3 linked regions of the Coturnix japonica genome follow. The protein of the gene in region 2 interacts with the protein of the main gene of each other region in a pairwise test. Links are inferred from orthologs where the notes say so. Each region holds a gene or a part of one and is shown on either strand. Other genes may lie near its edges.

Region 1 (2,700 bases), on a different chromosome or scaffold from region 2:
CAAAGGAATCTTTAGAAGCGGCCATCCTGCTTTTGGGGTTAGAGATCTATACAGAGCACAGCCAGGAGGCCAACAGAAAAGCAAGTGGACTCTGTGAAAACGCAAGAATAAGTTGAGAAACTAAGTATAAAACAGAGCAGCCTCCTAACCACATACAGTTATATCCAAATTGAATGCCTAAGGAAAATGATTTAGTTAAATACTAAGTCATGGTTATTCAATCTACGTAAATAGTTTGCAACGTGACTTAATCCTAATACTTTTAAAATGCATAGCAGGGGTTTGCATTGCAATTGAACTCTTTACACTCAAAAAGGGCACATCCTGCTCACTGATCTTGATGCATCCTCATCTGAAATGAGTTAACCTGTAGAACTATATTGACTTAAGAACGTAGTTGCAATTGTTAAGATCGAACATTTTAACATCAGCCAAACCAGATAAGATGGCAGAAATAAGTTTAACGCACTGCATAGCAACCTCCCAGACAAAACATAGTCATTTCCATCCTTATTAATTAGTTTATTCCCATTTAAAATATACAACTTTGAAAAATTATGCATAATACATTCAAATTTGAATTGCATTCTTAAGCATCCTGATAACCAAACAGCCGATTTCTGGCCAGTATAATACAAGACAGTCAACACACTTTGTTTATGGCCACAAGAGAAAACTCTGCAGAAATTAACATTTATTATCTGATATTGCAGCTCATCCTTGAACACTTACATGTAGGAGTCCATTTCAGTAGATCCTTTCTTCCCCCCCAAATACTTTCTTGTTCCTGTAAGACAAAAATAATACCACAAAGATCCCAAAAAGGGCAAAAAAAAAAAGTGTAGGTCAGCTATTTTAGATATAGCATTAACGATACAAGAGTTGATTCAGCAGTGTCAAAAATAACCATTAAAGCTCCTATTACCACTCGACAGTGGTTTGAGTAAGCTCGCTAACAACGCCATGAAGCTTAACAAACCTGAAGTAGTAACCTGAAAACTTTAGAAAAATGGCCATATAAACGGTATCCTTTAGAACAACAGTACTGTTACAGATTCTTAGTAGTACAGCATTGAGGCATAACCTACAGCCCCCTTGAAAAAGCACCTCGATAGACATCGTTATGGTAAGGTTTTGATAAATTTCAAAGGGCACCTTAACATGGTTGAAACCTGACAACAGCTGCCCCCTGCAGGGTACACAGCAACATCCACAGCTCTGCTGTCAGCCAAATGTAATGGCTACAGAACTTCAAGAGTACCCAACATAATACATCGCATTACCAACATATTACAGGCATTTTTTAGACTGTAACATCCCCTGCTCCACAGAGCTCAGTCCTACCTAACATACAGCAGGGAAAGCATCAGCCTGGATCCAAAACGGGCACTGTATAGCTTGGATTACAACTGTTAATGGATGGGTGGGAGATGAGAGCAGGAGGGGAAGTCAGCTGTTGAATCTGACACACTGCGTGAAGAGTAGGAAAGAAAAGCATCAAATAGACACTACCCCTAATTGAATTTAAGCCGACGTAAGTCACTTCATGAGGACTGGAGAGAAAGCATCCATCACTGTAACAGAAAATTATGTTACTACCCATTTGCTGTCATATCCTAATTTAGCATAGAAAAATCAACACGGGCCTTTGAAAGTCAATAGTTTTTATTTACAGTTTTCATGGCAAAAGGCCATTTTAAACAGAGGGCACCTTATTGTACTGTATCATGTATCAATTCAGTGTCTGTATCCTCGGTATCCAGCTGATCAAATAAAGCTAATCAACACATAAAGAAAAGTGACCTGCATCAGCTCCTCTATAGAGCGCGCAGCGAAAAAGCTAGTCAGGCAGTGCCTAAATCAACACAATCACTATTAAAAATGCAGTTCCGGTCAAGAACGTTTACTTTTTATTTCATACTGTACCTGGTACCAACTTCCCCTTACATTTGCATACTGGCAAAGCAGTTACACTTCCTACTATCAAGTGACTTTATAATACCATTCACTGCAGATTCAGTTGCCAGGTTATTATGAACTATTCTGAGTATTTTAGTGTGATCATAGCAAGACCGGAGATGAGACTGAAGTAAAGTCATCCTGGTATATGACATGCCCATCAGAATCAGCTGGGTAACCATAAACATCCCATTCAAGAATCCTATTCAAAAAGGAGAAAAAGCATAGTCAGTTTGCACTTTATCACATCAATTTTAATTTCCTCTCGAGCTTTTTAATTCATTCTTCTAAATCAAGAGTGTTCAGTTCTTCTTCTAGTTCGTCCAAGTCCTCGCCAGTAAAAAGGTTTTCATCAACAGGAACTGCATCGATGGCTCCATTTTCTAACTCATCACCATCACGATCTCCTTCAGAATCAATTTGTTCACTGTTGTTTATCTCACCACCAGAAGCTTCACTTAGTTTATTGTCTGAAAACACAATTTGTTACATGTCTTAGTGTCACAGGTTCCTTAACCACTAATTCAACATCATACTGAACAGGCTCTGAAGTTTTGCAACATCACTTGTTAACAGTTAACATATATATTTATACTAGCTCATATAGACTAAAGTGCACATGCCCAATCAAAATGCAGGGCTGGCTCATTAGTTACTAGAACAGGACAAAACCAATAAATCAAATAACTAACACTTCAACTCCCAACTTTTATAACAGGGTAGGGATTAATGTTTTGCTCC
Region 2 (4,174 bases):
TGCTGGAAAAACCTTCCTTTCTATCTACATTCAGACACACAAGGATGACAATAAGCTACATAAAGATGACAAAGCAGCATCTTTGTTTAATAGATTCTCATCTGCCTTTAAAATTGGTAGCAGATTTTCAAGGCTGTGTCAACATATGACTTTAGGTTTGCTGAATTTAACTGAAACAAAGGAAAAAGACAATGGCTAATGTTTCACATTGAGCAACTGAATTCCAGCATACAATCCAGCTTCATGAATGTGTCAAGAGCAGAAACTCAGCCATTCTCATAAGGCATAATAACTGAACCAGCTTTGGATGCTGCCTCCAAGCTGCACTACACTCACCTGCAATGACTTGCCGTCCTCTGCCTTTTCCATCCTTGGCACCTTCAATAATTCCTGGCAGATCAAGTAGCTGTTGTTCAGGAAAGGAAAGGGACATATGAGAAAAAACAAATGTTTCTCTTTAAGATAAAATCTATTTGTACCTTTCTTCTTAAGCTGCTGAATTTACTGCACATCTTAACAAGACAAAGAGCAAAATTATTTCCACTTTAATTCCTACATACAGTGTTACTCCTATGGAATAGATAATACCAGAGCATGAGAACTACCACTGGAACTGTTCTCCAGAGAAAAGCAGAATAAAATTAGAACCTCACAGAAACATTTCCAATGTACTCTCGAGCACTTTTACAGATAAATTCTATTCTATTCTGTCCTAATACCATTATATCTATATATACAGTCTTAACTTCATAGACACCAGAAGATCTCACCTGTATCTTTGCTCCTTTGTATCTAATGACTCCAGGCACAGTAGTTAGTGTAGTGAACTCATATGCTGCCACTTCGGAGTAGACACCAGCAAGATTACTGAGCAGAGTAGACTTTCCCACTGATGGAAAACCCACAAACCCAATGCGGGCATCACCTGTCTTTGCAACATCAAAACCTGCAAGGAAATGACAAGAATTGACAAAGCACCTAAAGCCATTTCCTCATCTCCTACAGCTCTGCAGAGCCATATCACCGTTAGTTTTAATATTGCCCGAGTGACAGACAGGTCAGCTTTCCTGACAGGCTAAGAGCAGGACCCAGCCCGCACACTGCACACTGCCCCATTCACCACCTGCCTGCAGAGCAGAGCACCGCAGATACTTGGGCTGCACTTCACCCAGCTGCTGTGTGAGCACTGCAGCTTCCCCCCCCCAACACACACACACACACACCTTTGTATGTGGGCACAGACGTCCATTTCACACAAAACCCTCAAGACTTCTGCAAACACACCGTTATACCACCAAAACGCAGAAGTTCTTTTATTTACTCTTCAGATTCAACTCAAGGCCTCGGGCAGGGCCATAACACAACACCAAGCTACGGGCAGGGCCATTACATAGCACCCTGCTATGGACAGGGCTATAACACAGCACCCTGCTATGGACAGGGCTATAACACAGCACCTGCTATTGACAGGGCTATAACACAACACCCTGCTATGGACAGGGCCATAACACAACACCCTGCTATGGACAGGGCTATAACACAACACCCTGCTATGGACAAGGGCATAACACACAATCACCTCCTGTTTCTATGGATAGGGCCATCAACAATCAAGCACCTGGCTAGTGGATCAGCGGCCATAACACAACACCCTGCTATGGACAGGGCCATAACACAACACCCAGCTATGGACAGGGCTATAACACAACACCCTGCTATGGACAGGGCTATAACACAGCACCCTGCTATGGACAGGGCTATAACACAGCACCCTGCTATGGACAGGGCCATAACACAACACCCTGCTATGGACAGGGCCATAACACAACACCCTGCTATGGACAGGGCCATAACACAACACCCTGCTATGGAGAGGGCTATAACACAACACCTGCTATGGACAGGGCTATAACACAACACCCTGCTATGGACAGAACCATAACACAACACCCTGCTATGGAGAGGGCTATAACACAACACAACACCCTGCTATGGACAGGCCCATAACACAACACCCAGCTATGGACAGGGCTATAACACAACACCTGCTATGGACAGGGCTATAACACAGCACCCTGCTATGGACAGGCCCATAACACAGCACCCTGCTATGGACAGGGCCATAACACAGCACCCTGCTATGGACAGGGCTATAACACAACACCCTGCTATTGACAGGGCCATAACACAACACCCTGCTATGGGCAGGGCTATAACACAGCACCCAGCTATGGACAGGGCCATAACACAACACCCTGCTATGGACAGGGCCATAACACAGCACCCTGCTATGGACAGGGCCATAACACAACACCCTGCTATGGACAGGGCTATAACACAACACCCTGCTATGGACAGGGCTATAACACAGCACCCAGTTCCGTTCAGCACACTCCACATAACACAGCCCGTCCCACGCACCTTCCCCCGGTCCTCCTCCTCCTCCTCCCTTTGGTGTGATCAGCTCCCTGCGCAGTTTCGCCAGCCGCGCCTTCAGCAGCCCCAGGTGATGCGCCGTGGCCTTGTTCTTCTGCGTGCGGGCCATCTGCAACAACGCGGAACACAGGGCTCAGCCGTCCGCCGGGCCCTGCAGGATCCCCCCGCCCCGTGACGGAGCGGCTCGGTGCCGGACCCCGCCGGCTCGTTACCTCAGCCTCGATCTCCGCGATCTTCGCCAATGTCCCGCTCATGGCGGCGATGGACCCGGACCTACCGACCGCACCGCAACTACCGACCGCACCGCAGCCTCAGGCCGCTCCTCAGGCCCGGCCGGCAGCGCGCAGGCGCACAACGGCTTCTCGCGAGAAGCTGTGGGCGGGAAGCGGCGGGCGGAGCGCTGCGCTCTGCTCACTGCTCTGCGCACGGCACTGCACTGCACGGCCGGAGGGGGGCGCTGCTGCGTGCCGTGTGCAGCGCCGTGAGGGGACGGGCGGGAGCGTGTGTGAGGGAGAGCGGGAGTGAGGGAGCGGAGCGTAGAGCCGGCGTTTGCTCTCACGTTATATATCTACATGTCAAATTGAACGTGGTTTATAATAAGAAGCACGCTGTGCCACGCACTGTATAGAGGCATTTAAAAGGATGCTTGCACAACCACCTGCTCCGCCAGCCGGGATTCTGAGAATTGCAGCACCCAGAATGTAACTTTACCACAGCTTTGCTTGTGGAATTGTTATACGTTGACCTACGGTAAGAAGTAAAGCAGGGAGAGCTCCTTGCACAGGTCTCTGTTCTCATTCTTCCTCTCCTGGTCTCCTTCCCGCCCCATGTGAATTAAAAAAGCCATCTTTCACGTCACGAGCTCCGTTACAGTTGGAACTGTCATTAATATGAGCTTATGTAGAACTTAATGAAATAGAATCTCAAATAAAGTGGGATTAGAGCTCCTAGTAATGTTAGCTCAGGTAAGCCAGGGTAAATACGAGTGCACCTACCGCCGTGTGTTTGTTCATGGAATTCTAATTATTCCTTTGTGAACAATACTGGCTTTTAACATAGGACGCAGCAGGTTCAGCACTGCCGTTAATTTCTTTTGCTTCTCACTTCAGTTGGAATTTGACTTGTTTGATCCATAGCTGAATTCAGCCTTTAGTCCCTGACATTTGTAGTCCTGTTTGGTAACAGGAAAAAACATGAAGAAAAGTGCAAATGTGGGATGCTTAACCAGACTGCCTCTGTATTTGCAGAAGGTATTGATAACTGCAGGGCTAAAGCAATGGCATTAGTTGTTTTCACAGCCCAACTCCAGATCTCACTTACTGTGTCAAATTAAATCTACAAGTGTGGGATGAATGAGCAGAGATGTCAATAAATGACATTCTTAAGACAAAACTGCTCAGTACACAACCTTAAATCCTTTTTTTTTTTTCCAGAGAGCTATTCAAGCAAAGGTCCTCTAAGGACCTGAGGCACTTACAAACTTCTATCAGTGTTGAAAGGAGTAAAAGTTTCATTGAGATCATTTGCCCTATTATTTTTCCAGAAAACAACAACAACAACAACAACAAACATTTTCTAACTGGTCTGAATATTTGAAGTAGTTCAGTATTTGTAGTGTATTGGTTTATAAGAGCACCCTCTATGAAGCTTCAGAAAGGCTTATGCAGTTGTAGGGGCTGGTAGGGACCTCTGGAGAGGTTGGTTCCATGTTGTGAACGGATTTACTGTGATGACTCTC
Region 3 (3,519 bases), on a different chromosome or scaffold from region 2:
CCCCTTCTCTTCTGAAGGCTTTTGAAACCTCTGGGTAATTTTGATCAAACTTGATAGAAGTCTTAATGGTAGTAAGTCTTGTGAAATCTGTACAGAATGCTTGATTCGCTTATGATTGGAATGTGTTTGGGCATCTGAAAAGAGTCATTTGAAATCTGACTTCTGTTGTTTTTTTTTTGTTGATATTTTGTTGGTTTGTTTTTATGTTGGTAGTTGTATAAACAAACAGCATTTTGAAATGTATACATTTTAACTTCTAGGGAAACAGCTGTTTGAAATGGATCACAACCTTGATACATCTGACATCCAGTTCTTAGAGGAAGGTAAGTTTCTGTTTCTGCACCTGGAAGACAGTGGTTTAAAACATGTAAAAATTCCTAAGCAAAGTCTGTATTATAATTCTGACTAAAATCTCATGTCAGTGTCACTTTTAATTTTAAGATGGGTTATTGATAGAACGTTTTCCTGCCTTGAGAAGAATAGACTTCGCATTTGAATTTGGGCTCTGTTCCCAAGTTATGGGAACGTAACTTATAATGTTAACTTTTAATCCTGTCACTATCTGTTATTTAAAAACTCCTGCACTGATCAGTGTTGTAATTTTAAATTGAAGTTGTTAATAAATAACACTGATTTTTGTAGTTGCTACAATCTAATGGTGTTATCTAGATGGAAGCAGTTATAAAAGGCTCCTTCAAAAGCAGTGAAAAACAGAACCTTGTTCAGAGGCCAGAAGATGTCGCTATTGATACATACAAATAAAGTAGTGGTTCTGAAGTTTTGCTCTTAAGCTTTGTCTATTTTAGAAGAAAGTATGAAAGCATAGAAAGCCTCATCTTGCTTTTAAATTTTAAACCTAATATATATATATTTTTTACATATCAGTGCCTCTCTGAAGTAGTTGTCTGCCTTTCAAATTTTCTCCTGGAGAGAATTTAAAGGATAATTCTATGTGGTCTGCTGTTATTTGCTGCATGTGTGTATGGTACACACACACACACACACACACACACACACACACGTATTTATTTATATATAATGTGCATATACATGCTGTGCTTTGTACTTTTTGTATTCTGAGACTGTATTTTGTTGTTCAGGTACTTTTTTTCTCTTTGTGTAATTTCTTTTTTTTCTTTTTTTTTGTAGCTGGAAACAGTGTGGAGGTTGATGAATCTTTATTCCAAGAAATGGATGATTTAGAGTTGGAGGATGAAGAAGATGACCCTGACTACAACCCTGTTAATTTAGATAGTGATTAGATTTTTTTGGAACCGGCCCTGTCATCAGTATGGACTTATGTAACGAGAGAGAGGCAGGCAGAAAAACCACAGCATCTGTGGTTGTAGTAATGTGTATTGATTTTCCTTTTTTCAAAGAAAAAAAATATTTTACATCTAGGAGTATGGTCTTCTGATGACTGTCATCATAAATAAATCGACTAATATTTCACATGAAAAACTTGAGGCATACTCTTCTGATTATTATTGTTATTTTTTCCCTCCACTTCTTTAAGCGTCCTCAGAAGAGAAGCGACAACAAGCAAGAAGGAAAGATGGCATGGTGATTGTTAAACACACCTGCATACGGAAGCTGAGTTCTACTGTCTTCTTTGTAGGATATGCATGGGAAAGCGTATTGAATAGAACGGTTTACGTGCTATGCAGGTTTTTTTTCTTTGAAATTTTATAATGCAATAACTGACAGTCATTTCTGATACCCCAAATTATTAGCCGAATAGCAGTAGATAGGCAGCACTAGCCCTTTTTTAATAAGGCATAGCATTTTTAATGTTGAATGGAAACCACTTACATATTAGAGTGAAATTTTGTTTGCCGCAGCTTCAAAATGAAATGGTTGATTTTAAAATGGTTGATGTGTTTAGAAAGCCTTTTTTAAAGTTCTTGTGAATCAGTGAACTGAAAAAATAATTTGCTTTCGGCAACAGTGAATGTGAGAACACTGTCAGAGCACAGAAGGCAGTAATAGTATTTTACTTCATTCCTGTTCTGCTTCCATTTGTGGTTGCTGAGAGTTTTTTTGAAGTAGATTGTTGGCCATCTGTGAAAGTCTTAGCATAGTAAAGTTAGCATCCATGAGTTGCTGGGTAGCATGTTAACCCATCTGAAGAGTTCCTTGTGGAGCTACTGGCTTTATGTTAGACTCAGCCTCCCTTCAGACCTCCAAAAAACCTAGAACACTGAAGAAATGTGTGTAAAGTGTTTGGGACTGTGTCAGGTGGATGAAGGTTTCAAAAAGCAGCTCTCTGAACAGATAACTGCCAGGCACCTTGATGATTAGAAGCTTTGTGCTGGATTTTAAAACACTTCTGGTAGATTGCCTTAACTGCTCCAGCTTCAACCATTTAAAAGAGAATTGCACTGAAGTATCTATGCTTAGAAGACTAATGGATTTATGAACTTCAATATTTGGAAATTTCTTGCTCACAATAAGGAATTTGATTTCAGAAATAATATAATGATGTTTAAGATTCTCAGCTCATGCCATTTGAGAGCATCTGTGCGGATGATCTTGCATAACGTTTCAGTAGTCTTGTCTTTTTATACTCAAGAGGAATAAATAAGAGTTCCCAGTAGATAGAAATAAATATTAAAGTACCCTGTAAATGGTTTTATAAATGAACCATGTGCCTTTGTTCCTACCATCTTCTATTTGATGTTTCTAGTTTTGGCACCTCAGAACTTGAGACAAGCACCTAAGTTTCAGTTGTAACATTGTATGTTTCAAAGCAATAAGGAGGATCTGTGTTCCAGCAGGTATTACCAAATATATTTAAAAACTTGTAAGCTAATGTGATATTTAAAGTCTTGTCTCTTCCAAAGATGAAGTGGGATTGAAAGGTTTGTAATAACTGTGTCCCGTTTCCTGTGTAATTGCTAGCACGCTTTTAAATGATGTTTAGCACAGAACTTCATTTTCTTGTGTGTCTCATCAGCCATGAGAGAGCCTCCCAATGTTACTTTCAGTTGTCACTTTTTTTTTTGGCTAAAAGGAGTGTATTTTTCCTAAAAGCACTGAGTAAGTTCTCTTCAAATCTGAACTGAATCCAAGAATGCTGTATAGTCTGTGCAAAATAGGGATAATCTGAGAGAGTTTTCTAAGTGGGTCACTGGTGATACAAGAATCGCATCAATGTGAAAAAGAGCTTCTTAATACTTTCTAGATGAATGGGGTTTTCTGTTTTGTTTTCACACTGTGTTTATTGGTTTTTATGCAAAGATTGTGTAGCTTTAAGAAGTAATAACTGTGAAGTTCAAAGTATATTTTCATTGCTACTTACATCTTTTTTTTTTATCAGCAGAAATATGGGTTGAAATGACAAAAAAATTTCCTCAAGTCCATTTCTCCAAGTCTTTGAAACAAGTTTCAGTGACTCAGTCTAAAGTTCTAATTTGTTTATTAGCAATTAGCGTTTGTGAAATAAAAGGTAATTTTACCGAGTGGACTTGGGTGTATCTGTATGACTTTGTTTCCAGAGATGGAGATTGATCTTTTTAT

The links. The genes of interacting proteins can lie anywhere in the genome.
Region 1: the proteins of DRG1 (region 2) and ZC3H15 interact in binary tests that used the Homo sapiens proteins (3 or more experiments, as listed by UniProt). The two-hybrid records come from large-scale screens. The link is inferred for Coturnix japonica from reciprocal best matches to the Homo sapiens genes DRG1 and ZC3H15.
Region 3: the proteins of DRG1 (region 2) and RWDD1 interact in binary tests that used the Homo sapiens proteins (3 or more experiments, as listed by UniProt). The two-hybrid records come from large-scale screens. The link is inferred for Coturnix japonica from reciprocal best matches to the Homo sapiens genes DRG1 and RWDD1.

The regions. Positions count from the first base shown.
Region 1 is NC_029522.1:5,371,774-5,374,473, forward strand, and holds the end of ZC3H15 (zinc finger CCCH domain-containing protein 15), read right to left. Parts: intron 2,430-2,700; coding exon 2,239-2,429; 3' UTR 508-2,238; downstream 1-507. UniProt on the Homo sapiens protein: Protects DRG1 from proteolytic degradation. Stimulates DRG1 GTPase activity likely by increasing the affinity for the potassium ions.
Region 2 is NC_029530.1:7,969,762-7,973,935, forward strand, and holds the start of DRG1 (developmentally-regulated GTP-binding protein 1), read right to left. Parts: upstream 2,802-4,174; 5' UTR 2,691-2,801; coding exon 2,649-2,690; intron 2,546-2,648; coding exon 2,422-2,545; intron 947-2,421; coding exon 771-946; intron 407-770; coding exon 337-406; intron 1-336. UniProt on the Homo sapiens protein: Catalyzes the conversion of GTP to GDP through hydrolysis of the gamma-phosphate bond in GTP. Appears to have an intrinsic GTPase activity that is stimulated by ZC3H15/DFRP1 binding likely by increasing the affinity for the potassium ions.
Region 3 is NC_029518.1:58,028,208-58,031,726, reverse strand, and holds the end of RWDD1 (RWD domain-containing protein 1), read left to right. Parts: intron 1-260; coding exon 261-323; intron 324-1,149; coding exon 1,150-1,262; 3' UTR 1,263-3,466; downstream 3,467-3,519. UniProt on the Homo sapiens protein: Protects DRG2 from proteolytic degradation.